Linked DNA regions of Lonchura striata. The protein of the gene in region 2 binds, or shares a complex with, the protein of the main gene of each other region. Links are inferred from orthologs where the notes say so. Each region holds a gene or a part of one and is shown on either strand. Other genes may lie near its edges. The genes, in order: PRKG1 and ITPR1.

The links.
Region 1: ITPR1 (region 2) and PRKG1 share a complex: the UniProt entries of both Homo sapiens proteins name them as parts of the cGMP kinase signaling complex. The link is inferred for Lonchura striata from reciprocal best matches to the Homo sapiens genes ITPR1 and PRKG1.

The regions. Positions count from the first base shown.
Region 1 is NC_134609.1:37,893,595-37,900,706, reverse strand, and holds the start of PRKG1 (cGMP-dependent protein kinase 1), read right to left. Parts: upstream 3,117-7,112; 5' UTR 3,045-3,116; coding exon 2,734-3,044; intron 1-2,733. UniProt on the Homo sapiens protein: Serine/threonine protein kinase that acts as a key mediator of the nitric oxide (NO)/cGMP signaling pathway. GMP binding activates PRKG1, which phosphorylates serines and threonines on many cellular proteins.
Region 2 is NC_134614.1:22,875,700-22,883,888, reverse strand, and holds the start of ITPR1 (inositol 1,4,5-trisphosphate-gated calcium channel ITPR1), read right to left. Parts: upstream 3,007-8,189; 5' UTR 2,786-3,006; coding exon 2,760-2,785; intron 1-2,759. UniProt on the Homo sapiens protein: Inositol 1,4,5-trisphosphate-gated calcium channel that, upon inositol 1,4,5-trisphosphate binding, mediates calcium release from the endoplasmic reticulum (ER).

The DNA.
Region 1 (7,112 bases), on a different chromosome or scaffold from region 2:
AAAGCCATTCATAGAATCCCAAAATGGTTTGGGTTGGAAGAGATCTTAAGCCCATCCAGTGCCACCCCTGCCATGTCAGGGACACCTTCCACTGTCCCAGGCTGCTCCAAGCCCTGTCCAACCTGGCCTTGGGCACTGTCAGGGATCCAGGGGCAGCCACAGCTGCTTTGGGCACCCTGTGCCAGGGCCTGCCCACCCTGCCAGGGAACAATTCCCAATTCCCAATATCCCATCCATCCCTGCCCTCCGGCACTGGGAAACCATTCCCTGTGTGCTGTCCCAAATCCCTCTCAAGCTCTCTTACACCCATTCAGAATTCAGCCACTCTACAACACAGAATCTTCTGTGTGGCATCACAACAGCTTTCACCACCACAGACCCTCAAGTACCTACTGTGACTCTCATGATAATTCAGTTCCCAGAGAGTTTCTGCTGCTATTGATCCTACCAATCTTCAGCAACCTCTGCCAGATCAGGAGAGCTAATCCAGCACCACCTAACTACAAAAAAAAAAAAAGAAAAAAAAAAAAATACAGAGTCTACTTTAGAATTACCTTGATTGGAAAACCCCTCTAAAATCATAAAGTCCAACCACTCTCCCAGCACTTCCAAGGCCACCACTAACCAATATCCCCAAGTGCCACATCCACCGGCCTTTTGAACACTTCTTGGTGGCTTGACAAAACCAAAGGTTGGGTGCCATTACCTCAAGAGTCACTGAGGTTCAGCACGAACAGGGGGGGAAAAAAACCCAACCCTTTTGTGCAGGTTTTGTTATTCCCAGGTTCCCACCACCTTAAACCTCACCACCACAGTAGCTTATCTTGGTCACCAGGCTCTTAGGGCTGACACAGAGCGCTCAACGTCTCCCAGAGCCACGTACACTCCTGAAACCATTAGCAAGGATCTTTTCCTGTAATCACAGACTGGTTTGGGTTGGAAGGCACCCTAGGAGCTCTCTCATTCCAGCCTGTTGCCTTGGGCAGGGACACCTTCCACTATCCTGGGCTGCTCCGAACCCCCAGAATGTCCCACCTGAGTGATTACAACCTGAAAGCACAAGTTGACATCAAAATTGTTAATAATATTAGAAGTCTTGGACTTCAGAGATAATCAATATGAAACACCGCCTCGGAGGAGTTGGGCATTACACCCCACACCAGACCGCAGAACTGCATGCATACAAGGAGCGCTGAAAATTCCAGCTGGAAAACGTTCCCCCAAGGCTTTTGCCAGGCTTCCCACCTATTTCAGTGGGGACGGCAGAGGCTGCGGACTGGCTCTGCTGAAACCTGTGGCGCTTCCCGGAGTTCTGGGAGCTCCATTCGCACTTCGAGAGCGCCGACAAGGAAACCAACCCGTGTGGGGCTTTGCGTTCCCAGGGGAAATGAACACCGTGGGATGCCTTATCCCACCTTGGGTGCTCACCACGCACCCCAGGGCTTCCGCAGACCGCTCGCCCGCCTGGCCTCCGCCACCGCAGCCCCCCGTGTGCTGCCAGCTCACTTTTTGGGGTGTTTTACTCGTTTTGGGGGTGCAGGGGAGGCGTTGCGGGCGCCACCGCCGTTCGTCCCCTGACATCCTTCAGAACGGCGCGGCCGGACGCCTTAAAAGGGCAAAATATCTGTGGCGGTGGGAATGGGGGGCGGGCACGGCAAAGTGGGAATGGGATGTGGCGGGAGCGAGCGGCAGGAGGGGCACACGAGGCCCGGCGCGGCGGGGTCCGGCCATGGCGGCCGTCCTGAGGGCGGGCAGTTGCCTGGAGACGGCGGGGCCCGCCATGGCGGCGGGAAGGGCTGAGGCTGCGCGGGGAGCGGGCCAGCCCCGGCACGGTCCCCGCCACCGTGCCCCGCCACCGCCCGCCCCGTCCCACACGCCCCGCACTACCGGCTCCGCTCCCCGTTACCATCCCGCGAGGAAGACGCCGGCCGCGGAGGGGAGGAAGGGTTTGGCAGCCCCACCGACGGGGAGGCTGCGCCCCGGCCCCGCACATGGAGCCCGGCGCGGCGAGCATCCGCTCATCACCTTTTCCTTCCTCCTTTTTCATCCCTTGAGGAGCGCTGAACCAAAGGCACGGAGACGTACCGGCCAGGGAAAGGCACGGAGCGAGGGAGGGCTCCGCTTCCCCATTAAGGCGCTCTAATTTCCCTAATCTGCGGCAGGTGTGAAACCGGGGCAGCGCATCCCCCGGCGCGCTGGCACCTGAGGATCCCCGCAACTTTCCCTGCCCCCCGCACACCCGGACACTGCAATAAGCTCCTGCTTCTGCCAGACTCCCCTCCCCAAAACACCAGCCCCCTCCCGGAGAGCCGGGCACCGCATCCCGCCGGCCTCCAAGTTTCCCAGCTGGGAATGTCTCCCTGCGGGGTCCCGCAGCGAGCCCCGGCTTTCTCCCGCTCCCTCCCGCAGCGACGAAGCCGCCGTGCCCACGACGCGATCCGGTTCAACCCGCCGGCAGCACCGTCCCCCGCAGGGATGGGGGCCGGGTCCCCCCGCAGCCGGGACGGGCTGTCGGAGCCGGGCGCCCCGCTCCGCTGGCACCTCGGCGCTCACTCCTGCCGCTCTTCCCCCCTCGCAAACCCGGCGCTCGCAACTTTCCCACCCCGCGGGGCCACCCGGGGAGGATGCGGGAATGCCGCGCTCCGCTCCCTGCCCGGCGGGCGGCGGCGAGGCCGGGGATGGAGCGGGATGAGGGAGAGGGGAGGCTGAGCGGCGGGGTGACCCCCTGCTTACTGCGGGCTCTTGGGGTAGAAGGGGAGGGTGACGTGGCTGAGATCTTGGATGTCGAAGGCGGTGGGCTCGGCCGAGATCGCCTGGCGCTTGGTCCGCTGCTCGCCCTGCAAGGTGCCGGCGCTTTGCTGCTGCGCCTGCTGCGTGGCGGGCCGGATCACCGAGCGGTACTTGTCCAGCTCGTTCTGCAGCTTCTGGATCAGTTCGTCCTTCTGGTCCAACTCCAGCTCCAGCTCGTCGATGAGCGCATCCCGCTGCCGCAGCTCCTCGATCTTCTCCTGCAGCGCGTACTGTAAATCCCGCAAAGTGCCCATGGTCCTGCCGCCGCGCTCGCCCCTCGCCGCTCCCGGCAACTTTCCCCCCCGGGGCCGCCTCCCTGCGCTCGGGCCACCCCGGCCCCCGCCGCCCCCCTGGGCTCGGCCCGGCCCCGCGGGGCCGCCGCCGCAGCCGGACCCCCGGCACGGCGCTCCGGAGCCGGGGTGTTGTCAGGGGCGATGTGGATCCGCCTGCGTCAGGCCGGGCTGGCGAGGGAGCCGAGATGCACACACACACACACACATACACACACACACCCGCGGCGGCGAGCGGGGAGGGAGGCAGGGGCGGCGGGAGGATGCACATGCTCGCCCCGCTCCCTCCCGCCGGCCCCGCCGCGCCCCGCGCCGCCCACGCCCCGCGGGCTGCCGAGGAAGGAGGGGGCCGGCCGGGAGCAGCTCCCGGTGCCTGCCCTCCCGGCCTTTTGCTGGAAGCCAGCACACAGGTCCGAGCCGCGGACCTCCCGTCCTGCTCCCTCTGCTCCGCTCAAGGTGCCAGTTCTCCTCAAAGAACTTATCCCCCCTTTACTTTGCTTTTAAAGAGACGGGTTTTGTTGTCTTCCCCGAGTGGAAGCACAAGCCAGCGTCTGGCATGGCTCCTCCTCAAGCCTCAGCAAGCTCCGGGTTCCAAAAACCCAGATTTTCATGGGAATATCGGTCAAGTCTGTCTGCACTGGAAAAGCCTGGAGGCAGGGCATCTGGCTTTCAGAGCACTGAAAAAAAAGCCCTTAACTTAAAATCTGGGAGATTTTCTGCCTGGCCCAAATACCCATGTGAAAGCCCAAGTTTCTGCTGTACCAAACTGATCAGACTTCCCCGGAGTGCAGGGTTTTCCTTCACGCACACAGGTTTTCTGTGTGGCCCTACCTCTGCCACACAGCTCACGGGGCTGCAGCACAGAAATAACACAATCAAATAAATGAGCCACAGTGGCCAAGTCCTCGGTGCCAAATGATTCTGGGTTCTTCCATTTGCCAGGCGCTGAAGGGCCAGCAATGCTCACCCCGAGAGCACAGCTCCAGCCTTGGCTCTCTGGGGAAGAAACAGGGAGCTGTGAGCTGGTTTTGGGGGTTCCAGTCTGGAGGAGCCAGTGATAAAAACCCCAGAGCGTAGGAACCTCACCAAAGCTTCTGCAGCACTGGGGCACCGGCACAGTTTCATGCTCAGAGGTTTTCAGCTGCTGTTTCTGTTCCCTCTTGGGGAGTTTGATTTGGGGAGGAGGATGATGCAGCCCTGAATGTGGTTTTTTGGAGGTGGGTGGCACCTACATGTTTATGTCTAGACCTTCCATGCCAGGCATGAGCTGGGAGTGCCAGACTTCCAGCCCCTGCTTATGGGGCTGAGCTCCTTTGGTCTTGCCCTTTTTTTTTCCTCCCCCGTTACACACTGGCCCCAGCTTTCAACCTGCAGCTGTTTTTTATAAAATACATTTATAAAAGAGAATGGATGAGGAATTAGAGCTGCTCCCTGCTCCACACTGTTGCTGGAAAGGGCCTGGCCTCTGCTCACAGACATGAAGCCTCGCAGGTTTTCCATGCATTTGATCCTGCATTTTTCAAATGCACGCAAAAAGGGGGGGTGGGGGGGGTGGAAATTGGGTTATGCAAAACTCTTCAGTTTTCAGTCCCCTTGATATATTCATGCCAGGCACAAAGCAAAGTCCCCCAGTTGTTTCCATGGGTTTAAGGCACAACAGCATTTTTTACTGTCTATTCCCCCTATTTCCATCTCACATAACTCACTGGGAACAAAAGTACCAGATATCTGCTGAACATTTCCATTTTAAAGACAACAGGCATTAAACAGATGCATTCCTGCTGCCTACAAACTGGGAATCAGTGATAAATAAAATATTTTAACAGCCTTCAGCCAACACGCTGTAAGTTTTATTGGTTTCCTCCCTGCAGAAGTGAAATCTGCAGGAGGGAGAGGTGATACAGTTAGCTGAAGCCCACCAGGCTTCAAAAGAATCCCGACCCTGGAGAAAACTGGTGCATAATTTCTCAGTGACAAGCAGTAAAATAACATTACTTTGTTTCAGTGAGAGGGGCACAGCTCAGGACTGAGACAACAGTGCCCCAGAATGGAAAGGATCCACAGAAAACCATGAGAAATTATGGCACATAAAGCTGTCAAGGAATTTAGCTGAGTGTATCTAAAACGTGTATTCATTTCCAGGTAGGAAGAAGATTTTCATCAGGCCCTTGGGAGTCTCAAGAGAGATTTTTATGGCCCAGGTTTAGATCTGGGACCATAACCAGCAGCTGTCAAGCCCAAGGCCAGTGTTCCCTGGTTTAAAGATGAGGCCAAAGCAGCCCAAAGGGTTTCAGAAGCCAACAGCAGAGCTCTGCCATGGGAAGGCAGCTGGCAGTTGCCTGTTCCTGGCTATTTCCTGCTCTCCCAAAGAAACCAGAGCACAGAAACCACGAGGCCAGCACAGATCCTGCTGTGTGATCTCGGGGATCACACCCCACTCCCATACAAGTAAATCCTATGGTCCTATTCCTTTCAATTTAAAGCTCCCAATAAAATAAATAAATGGATCACAGGCTCAACAGAGCAGCTGTTTTGTCTGCTTGATCCAGGGAATGGAAAGAAACAGCTTTAGGGAGAAGAATGGCAGGAATGCACCAACTGGCTTGGTGTTGGGTGAAGCTGCTCACAGCTTAAGGAAATCTTCGGCTATGAACTTCCCAAAGCCTTTTCCTGCTCCCTCCACTTCCAGAGCATGCATGGATGTTGAGTGGGAAGCCAAAAAAAAAAAGAGCATCTGCAGAGATGTGCCCCAGAACATGGCACGCCAGGGCTGGTTGGTGGGAATCACAGAGCAGGGATGTTTCTCCTCTCCACTGCACTCACAATATTTCCTCTCTGCACAGCTCCAGGCTTTTGATACCTTCTGCTTCTGAACCTTTTCAGGGATCATCTGCCACCAAATGCGCCCACTCAGCTGCCATTTCTCAAGCTGAAACTGTATTTGAACACTGCCTATCCTGCAAACACCTCCCTGGATCCCTGAGACAAGGCTCAGCGAGCTGGCTCGATCCCTGACAGGCAAATGTCACCTTGCTCCAGCCAGCCGGGACAGCACGGACACAAAGGCTGGACATGCACCACTGCCCATATAGATAAACATCTTCCTCCTCCTGGATGTGGTGTTTGCTCCCTGCCTAATCCACTCTGCTCTTTTCCGAAAATATCTGCAGGAGCAGATCAGCCCGTGGCAGAAAGTTGAACCGGCTGGATTTTGTGCTGGATTATCCTGCTTCGTGCAGGTTTGGGAAGGTCTGTGACCTGCAGGGCTCTGCCCTCCCCTAGCACACAACCAAATTCCTGCCCTATCTGCACAGTCACAGCAACACCTTCATGATGAGAAGGAACTACAAGAATACAGGAATATTTCGAGGGAGGCAGCACCCTTACAAAAAGCACCTCGAGGTGTGGTCACACCTGAGACTCGCCACATCTCACTCATGGGATGCCATCTGCTATTCCACCACGTCCCCAAAATCCACAGCAGTCCCCAAGGCAGAGCAAGGAGTGCCACCTACTGAAACACGGGCACACCCAACTCTTCCCAGGCATATCTGACCATTCCTTTTGCCCCAAAACGCCTCTGGCAGCTCCTTCTGTGGCCACAGGGCCATACAGATTTATAGGGGGCACCTGGGAACTAATTCAGCCCCCAGGGATGGGGATGAAGCTGAAATTACTGTGTCAAAGCAGCCTTGCCATGACCAAGGAGCAGGAATTGAATACCTGAGAAGTGCTTCAGCCTCTTTTCTTTTCTCCAGGAAAACAAGACCTATTTTCTCGTGGCACTGGATGCTCCTCCTCCCTATTTTGGTCCTTTCCAGAGCCTCTAACCCAAAAGTGAAAGCCATTTGTCCTCCCCACAAAGGGATGGAGATATCCAGCTCTGAGCAGTTTCATTCAAACACCATTGATTCCTACATGCTGGAAGTCAAATAAACACCTGAACTGGATTATCCTGATGACTTTCCTTTAGGGCATCAGGAAGAAACATTGAAGAAACATTTCCACGCTCAGTAAGAAACATTGAGAAGT
Region 2 (8,189 bases):
CATTTCTGAAAAGGCTTTTTTCAAAGAATTCAAAGCTACTTCCTTGATTGCATGTCTCGCACGTCTGCTTCGTGTGGGATTTTAATTCTTTACCCCATAATCCTGTTTGTAAGATAAACAAGCCCAAATGCGTCTTATTGCTGATTGCTCGATTCCCAGCAACTGGGATACAAATTACTGTGTCTTTCCAAGATGCTTCTAATGATGTTTGTTTAGAGTAAGAAAAAAGCTCCTTGCTGTGCCCTGCAGTCCCAGGATGCACTCAGGTCTCTGCTGGCAGATTTGCACTGTGGTTTAGTGCTCAATTCAATAAACACTGGCAATTTTATATGTACTGCTATCAAAACTGGAGCACCACTTTATCAAAGTCTTTTTCACTATCTCGGTCGTTTAAGAATAGAATTTCAAACTGTACTTAAGTGTTTCAACTTCATTACCGCCGACAGGAAATTCCAGAGGGAAAGTTTAATTCTGTTTCAGTTTTTGACAGAAGCAAGACCAGAGTTTAAGGGTAGACAGACAACAAAGAAGCAAACACAAAGAACTGCTTAATGGCATAAGCAGAATCATACAGAAATTAACAGAAATTAACAGAAATTAACAGAAATTAACAGAAATTAACAGAAATTAACAGAAATTAACAGATTAACAGAAATTAACAGAAATTAACAGAAATTAACAGATCTGAGAACCCCCAAGACCAGGTAAGTCTGTGTTTGAATTAAATTGAATTGGGTCATTAATACTGATAAATCGGGCCAAGCAAATTAACATTTTTAAAATGCAACCAAACACTGTATTATCCTGAAAATCCAGTGCTTAGATAATCTGGTAAATCCAAATTTTACCAGATTACTTGGCTGAAAATTTGGCCCTACAGACTAATCAAGACTTTATGTGGTTTTTTTTGGATAACACCCACAGAGCATTCTGTATTTTCACAGGTGCAGCCACCTTGAAAATCTGAACCCAAACCTGATGTTTCTCATTCAGTAAAAAAAAGAAGGTTTCCTCCCCGAGGACGCCAGGAAAGATTCCTAAGAATCCCATTAGAACAGCTGAAGAGGGGAGGAAGTGCTTTATTTAAAAGCTCACCCGGTGAATAATCACCGTGCTGGGGCTGAGGACAGAGCTCTGTCATCTGCAAAGCCTCTGCTTAGCAAATCTGAAAGGAGCTCTTTGCACTCGCCAGGGAAAGGAAAATGAAGAGATTTTGGGATGTGTGGGGCAGGCCATGTGCTGAACACCAGGATCCTCTCACCTGCTGCTAAGGGACAGCGCTGGGAGGGTTCAGCTATGCACATGGGGCTCCATTTCAGAGATTACCCTTTAAAAAATAAACTATCAGTGCAGTGCATTTATCTACCACAGGATCTTGTTTTCCCTTCAGCTGCAACCTTTCATGTCCAGGAGGCTGCTGTCTGCCACACATGGGTGGCTGATGAACCGTTAGATTAAGGAGGAGAAATGCACTTTCGCAGACCAAGTATTTTTCCTCCTGACGCTTAAAATGCAGATTTTTTTTCTTCCAATTTCCAGGCTGAACAGGCAAGATGGAGGCTGGGGAAAAGGGGAAGGAGGGAGCAGCAGAGCACTGTGACTTTCTCAAGGACACGCAGCAGGTCAGAGTCGGGGCCCAGATCTGAATCCAGGTCTCCCAAATCCCCATCCAGCAGCTCACACTCCCCTCCACTCCCAGGGGGGAGATCACTCACTGCACATCTAATCAAGCACACGCTTCCCCTTCCTCTAAAAATAAGTAGGGAGAGAAGTGTAAATTCACACAGCAAGATGAGGGCCGAGTTAATGACGTTCTATTCATACTATTTGCCACTCCACAGATAAATAGATTTTTATCACATCAGTGACAGAGTTATTCTGAAGTGACTATTTCATAGGTGCAACAGCAGTTAAGAAAACAGATAAAGCAACTCATTTTGGTAACTTTAACCTCAATAAAACCTCAGTACAGGAAAGCAAATGTGCACAATGTTCTTTTCTCCTTAGAAAGGGCATTTGCTTTTTTTTTTTTTTTAATTATTTGCCCAGTGCAACCGAACAAGCTAGATACAGAAAATTCAAGTCAAAAGCATGGAAGTTTCACTCTGACAGCAATCCCTTACACAGCAGCCACTGACTGAGGTAAGAAACATGACTGACAGGTCCTACTGACAGGCATCTGCAGACAGCTGGAAAAAGAAACTCTATTAGAGACACACTGTCAGGGGAAAAAGAACATTTTTTTGTTCCAAACTAAGTATGACCTGACAGCATCTTCCTAATCCTGTTAAAAGCAAGGAGCACTTGCTGAAGCTGATACTTCCTGAAGTCCATCCTTGCTGGCTCCAGCCCTGCTGGGAGGAGGCAGCCTGGATGTCAGCCTCTGGACGAGGCCCCGATGAGCACACAATGTTTTCCAGCATATTTCAATCAGGAGAGAGCTGGAACACGCCACAAGGACCAGGACAACCAAAGTCATGGGGAAAGAGAGCAAGCTTGGTTTATTACACCAGCTGGAGCTTGGCCAAGGAACAAGGATGGCCAGGGAAGAAGAGGGCACGGAACAGTCCCAATGTCACTTGGTGTGGCCAGCTATCTGCTGAGGGCTCAGCGCAGCAGGGGCTGGTTCCTGCACCCCACAGCAAACTCAACACTCACTGAACCCAGCGGTTTCCTCACTTGTGCCTCGATGGAGCAGCTTCCATCCCCTGCAGCTGCTCATTCCCTGTCCCCATCCCCATCCCCGGGCAGCAGCGCACCTCGGCGGGGGCTCCCTCTCCTCCATGGCGGGCTCTCTGTCGGTCTCCAGGGCTGGGCTGGGCAGGGCGTCCCCCGGCAGGGCTGGGTCCCCTCTGGCAGGGAAGCCAAGGCCGGTGTCCCGCTGGGCAGCCCCTGCAGGCTCCGAGGGCTGCGCTGTCCCCGAGGCGAGGCAGGACCCTCCCGTGCGCCGCGCGTCCCTCCCGGACACCTCCGCTGGCTCCCGGCTCTGGATAAAACCTCAGCGCCCGGGACAACCAGCCCAAGAGGAGGAGCCACTGCCAGCACATGATGAGCACGTGTGGAGAGCCACTGGTGGCCAAGGGACCTACTTTGAGCTCCAAAGCCCCGATGGGCCAGGCTGCGTTACAGATGAAGGCTCCAGTTCCCAGGCTGCCTTGTACCTGTTGGCCTCCCAACTGTAATTTTCCAGAAGGCAAAGGTTCAAAATACTGAACCACCCACGAGCATTAGCATCCGAATCTGCTGAACGCTTAAGAGAGGAGCGGCCAAGGACTGCAGAGTTATTTAATTATTTTAATCAGAAGTTCCCAATTAACCCTTCGGATCAAGCGCCATCAGCCAGCTGAGGTTGAGCCTGCATCTGTGGCCATGTGTTTCTCCTTGGAGTGGGAGGCAGATGGGACAGAGCTGGACTGCAAACAAAGCTTCCTTCTTCACAACTTCTTGGCAGATTTCTGAATTTTTGAAGAGGTGGACAGGTGGGCCAAGGGACAAAAGAAATGTTTATACAAGTTTCACGCAAAACTGCTACTAAACAATCGCATAAAATAAAAAACAAAGTATAGCCTTTGAGCAGCAGCCATTTTTGGCCTCCTATGATCAGAAATGTCTTCCATTTGCATGCTCAGAGATTATCATCCTCTGACCACAGAAGATCAAGCACCAGACGAGCAGAGGATGAACTGCCTGTGTCCATTGTGACACTGGCTTCAACCAACCAAGCCTCTTCCCTTAGAGCTCAGCATCACATTAGTCCAGAAGCAGAGGCATTACCTAATATCTTAACCCAGAAACATCTGGAATTTCCATTTCTCAGAGCTACTCCCCCTCCTTTGAGCACAGACTGGTTTGGCTTGAAAAGGACCTGAAAGATCATGTTGTTCCACTCCCTTCCACTAGACCAGGTTACTCCAAACCCTGCCCAGTGTGGCCCTGGACACTTCCAGGGAATATCATCAGTGAGCTAGGAACACTCAGCTTCCTGCAGCACTCTTCATGTTGGAGTTCTGGCACATGAGGATGCAATCACATTGCCACAAGCAACAAATCCCCAAGTACCACAGACTTCCACGCACATTTCCAACCCATTTTCTCTCCACAGGGTTAACTTGAATATCAACTGACATTTTATTCTCCATAGAACGCTGCTAGGAAGTTCTGATCCAAGTTTTGAGAACCAAAACCACAAGCATGAAAATGAAACTCCTCTGAGTTTGGAATCCACAGCTGAATGTTGCAGCTTTCCTCACTTGAATTACAGTTCCTGTAGTTTCTATTTCATCTTTTTCACAGAACACAATCCCAGAATGGTTTGTGTTGGAAGGAACCATGGAGATCATCTCATTGCACCCCCTGTCATGGGCAGGGACATCTTCCTCTACTCCACATTGCTCCAAGCCCTGTCCAGCCTGGCCTTGGACACTTCCAGGGATGAAGCAGCCACGGCTTTTCTCAGCAAATTTGGTCCCATAAAGCACAAGTGCCCTGAAGACCTGGAAATTCTTTCTCAAGTACAGCACAAGCAAGAATCACACAAGGAGCCTCTGGCTGCCCTCTGCCCATCTAACAAGTACTTGCAGCACCCTGGAAAGAGGGATCTGCCTCCATCCCCAGCCACTGCCTGCTCGTGCCAAGCCAGAGAACGAGGCAATAATTGCTGTAGTCCTTCTGTAGTGTCCGTGGGGAGCAGAAATCAGACAGGAATATCAAACCAGATCAAAGCTCGTGCAGTTCTGGCACCCAGGCTCCTGCAGCAGCCTCCAGGAGAGCTCGCTGGAAGGGCACACACTTGGAACAGCCACGGGCACAGCCAGCATCCAGCCCTGCAGCACAGGGACCCTCTACAGCTCTTCCAGCCTCTAAAGCAGCACCTGGCCCCACCCAGCACAGGCCACTGGATAAAACCGGGCAGCTTTTGACACCCAGATTTTGATTCTCACACACAAACAGCACCAAAAAAAGGCTCCAGGCCACCCAAGCACCTTCACTTTCTGTTGCTATCTTAGCAGAAGAAACTAATTTGGGACATACACTATGCAGATCTTTAGGAACCAGGATTTACAGCACAGTCTCATTGTGGCAGAGATGTTACATTTACATAACCTTCTTGCAGTACATGATTTTCTGCCTCTAAACCCTTTGGTCTCCATAAGCTGCTTTGCTGAGGCCGCCTTCCCTCACACTCACCCACGGGCGAGCCAGCAGCTCGTCTACCAGCTACTACAGAGCCACTACCCTCATCCCACCTCCCACGGGAGCCTGAGATTCCTCCTGGCTTTAAGACAATCCTACAACTACAACGATCTTGTATTTATGGGGTAATAATGTCTCAAAGACTCCCAGTACACTTTGCAAGTTGACACATGAGATATTCCAAAGGAGTCTGCTGTGCACTGGGGAACCACCACAGCCAACAAACCAGGCAGGATCGCAGGGTCATGGAAGCTGGAAAAGACCTTCCAGGTATTGAGTTGAACTGATAGCACTGTGCCCACCCAACCATGTCAGGCAGAGCCACATCTGCTCAGTCTCTGAACATCTGCAGGGATGGGAACCCCACTGCTTCCCCAGGCAGCCCATTTCAGTGTCTGATTACCCTTTCAAGTGAAGTTATTTTTCCTAATCTTTAAGCTGAGCCTCCCCTGCCCAGCTTGAGGCCATTCCCTCTCCTCCTGTCCCTGTCCCTGGAGCAGAGCCCATCCCCACCTGGCTGTCCCCTCCTGGCAGGAGCTGTGCAGAGCCACAGGGTCCCCCCTGAGCTCCTTTTCTCCAGGCTGAGCCCCTTCCCAGCTGCTCCTGACCCTCCCCAGCTCCATTCCCATCTCTGCCCCTCAATGTTTTTCTTGCACTGAGGGTCCCAGAGCTGTTCCCAAGACTGGAGGTGCCCCAGCAGTGCCCAGGACAGGCACTGGCACTGCCCTGGTGCTGATGCCACATCAGTGCTGGGACAGCTCAGGTGGCACTGGTCTCTTGCCTGCCTGGGCACAAACGAGCCCAGGTGGCCAAAAGCAGCTACAGCTGCCCCAAGAGCTCATCAGAACAAGCAGCACCTGCTCTTGTGATGGTTCTAATTCAAGGGCAGGTACCAGACAAGGGCTCAGGAGATTTGGGATCTGCTTTAATCCCGCTTGACAGCACTGAACAAGAAGTTCCACCTCAATGCTGTCCATTTCAGCATTTACCAGGAGAGACCAGCTCATCTGACAAGAAGCAGCCAAAGGGAGCTTCTGCTTCCAGAACAGACTTCTGGACCACCCCAATTTGACCAGCTCCTGGGGCTGTTCCCTTTTCTCTGGCACACACACAGTACTGGAGGAGCTGGATGCCCAAAATTCACCCCAAACCTGCCACCCCTGCAGGTGCCCTGTTCTGGTGCTTGCCACGCTGTCAGGGACATTCAGTGCTGTCCTCAGCAGAGGAGTCACTACAAATAGAGCAGGACCTCACACCACACAGCAGCACAGCATGGTTTCAACTCTCCCTTTAGGCTGCAACATCCTCACTTGTGAGCTGCCAGGACTTGAAATTATTTCTTCACTTTAACTCAATTTGTGCATTTTCTAGACTACACTACACCAAAATTGTTGAGGGAACATGAGAGGATTGGTGCTGCTGTGGATAACATCATGTTACAAAACTGAGGCTGGAAAAGACTCCCAGGATCATCGAGTCCAAGCACTGCCCAATCCTCCCCTTGTCCCCAAGTGCTGCTTGGATACCTCCAGGGATGGGGATTCCACAGCCTCCCTGGGCAGCCCCTGCCAATGCCTGACAGCCCTTTCAGTGAGAATTCCTCCCAAAATTACACTGCTCATGTACAACCAGAGATCACAAGTGTCCCTTACAGCCCCTCCACTCTGTTCATCAGTCTTCATCAGTCCCAGGACAGTTCCATTCATCCAAACCTGCAGCTCCACCAACCACCATCAAAGAAATAAATCAAATGCTCCCCCTCCTGTGCTCTTCACTAAGGCCTCCTCCACCCTCCAACGATGGTGTTCAGGATTAGCACATCTCATAAAAACCATTTCCCCGAGCTAAGCTCCACCCCATGATTGCAAGGGCAAAGCAAACTTACTCCCGTTTGTTTACTTCCTAATTTATGAAACCTGGTAAGAGGAAACTATTTTCAAGGCTTAATCAACACTGCAAAACAAGCAGATGGTGGGAAAAAACCCTCATCTAAGCAAACATTTTAATCTTGGGGAAATAAGGTATTTTAACAAGAAAAACCCCTGTTATTGACAAATAAGAGGCGGCTTAAAGAAAACATTAGAAATAATCAGCTCAGCATCGGCTTGTTTTGAAACACACTAGAACCGTGGTTTTGTTTTCACAGTGACTCCTTGTTTTGGTTTAGGCACACTGAGCACTACAGCTTCACACCAGCTCAAGCTGCTGAGTCCCACGGTGGTCAAGTCCCACATTTTTTTCACCAAGTGTCCTGTGACCCCTAAACTTCTGGCCTGATGGATGCCAGCAGCGTTCTCCACCCACTGAACAGCCAAAGCTCTGCTCCAGCCACGACACCCTGCAATGCTGGAACTGCTTCCACCAGCACAACCACCAGGCATTCAGACCATGGGATACTTGCTGCGTGAGGAAATGGGTGTAAATCAAGGTACAGAAAAGAACCAAAGAGAAATCCAGCACCTGGTAGCCCATGAAGCGGCTCCAGAGGAAGCACTGAGGGGAAGGAAGGGATATTGGCCTCACATGGCATCCCGCACTGCCACAGCTGAGCCCTGCAAGGAAAACAGCTCCACCATGGGCCTCGGAGTCAGCCAACCCTCCTGCTCAACACGGCTGCAAGTCCTGGGACAGCAGGCTCAAAACAGCCCCAAAGGCAAATAACTAAATGCACTTCAAGAAATAAAACACATGCACAGGTACCGACCCTCACTAATAAACAAAACCAGCAGCTCCCACACACGCTGCTCCCTACACGACTTGCAGTCACTAAATCTTCATCAGGCAAAGATCTGGATTGTATTAGCCACGTTCTCCCTTCCTGATTTGTGAGCAGCAGGACCGCAGCCCAATCCATCTGCGGCGGAGCAGGCACAGAACCGTGGCACGGCGATAAATTCAACTCCAGCCTTTCACCTGTTGGAGTCTTTTCAGACAAACTCCGGCGGCCGGAGCGAACCCACCTGGGGCAGGGAGGGGAAGGGCTGAGGCAGCCGCAG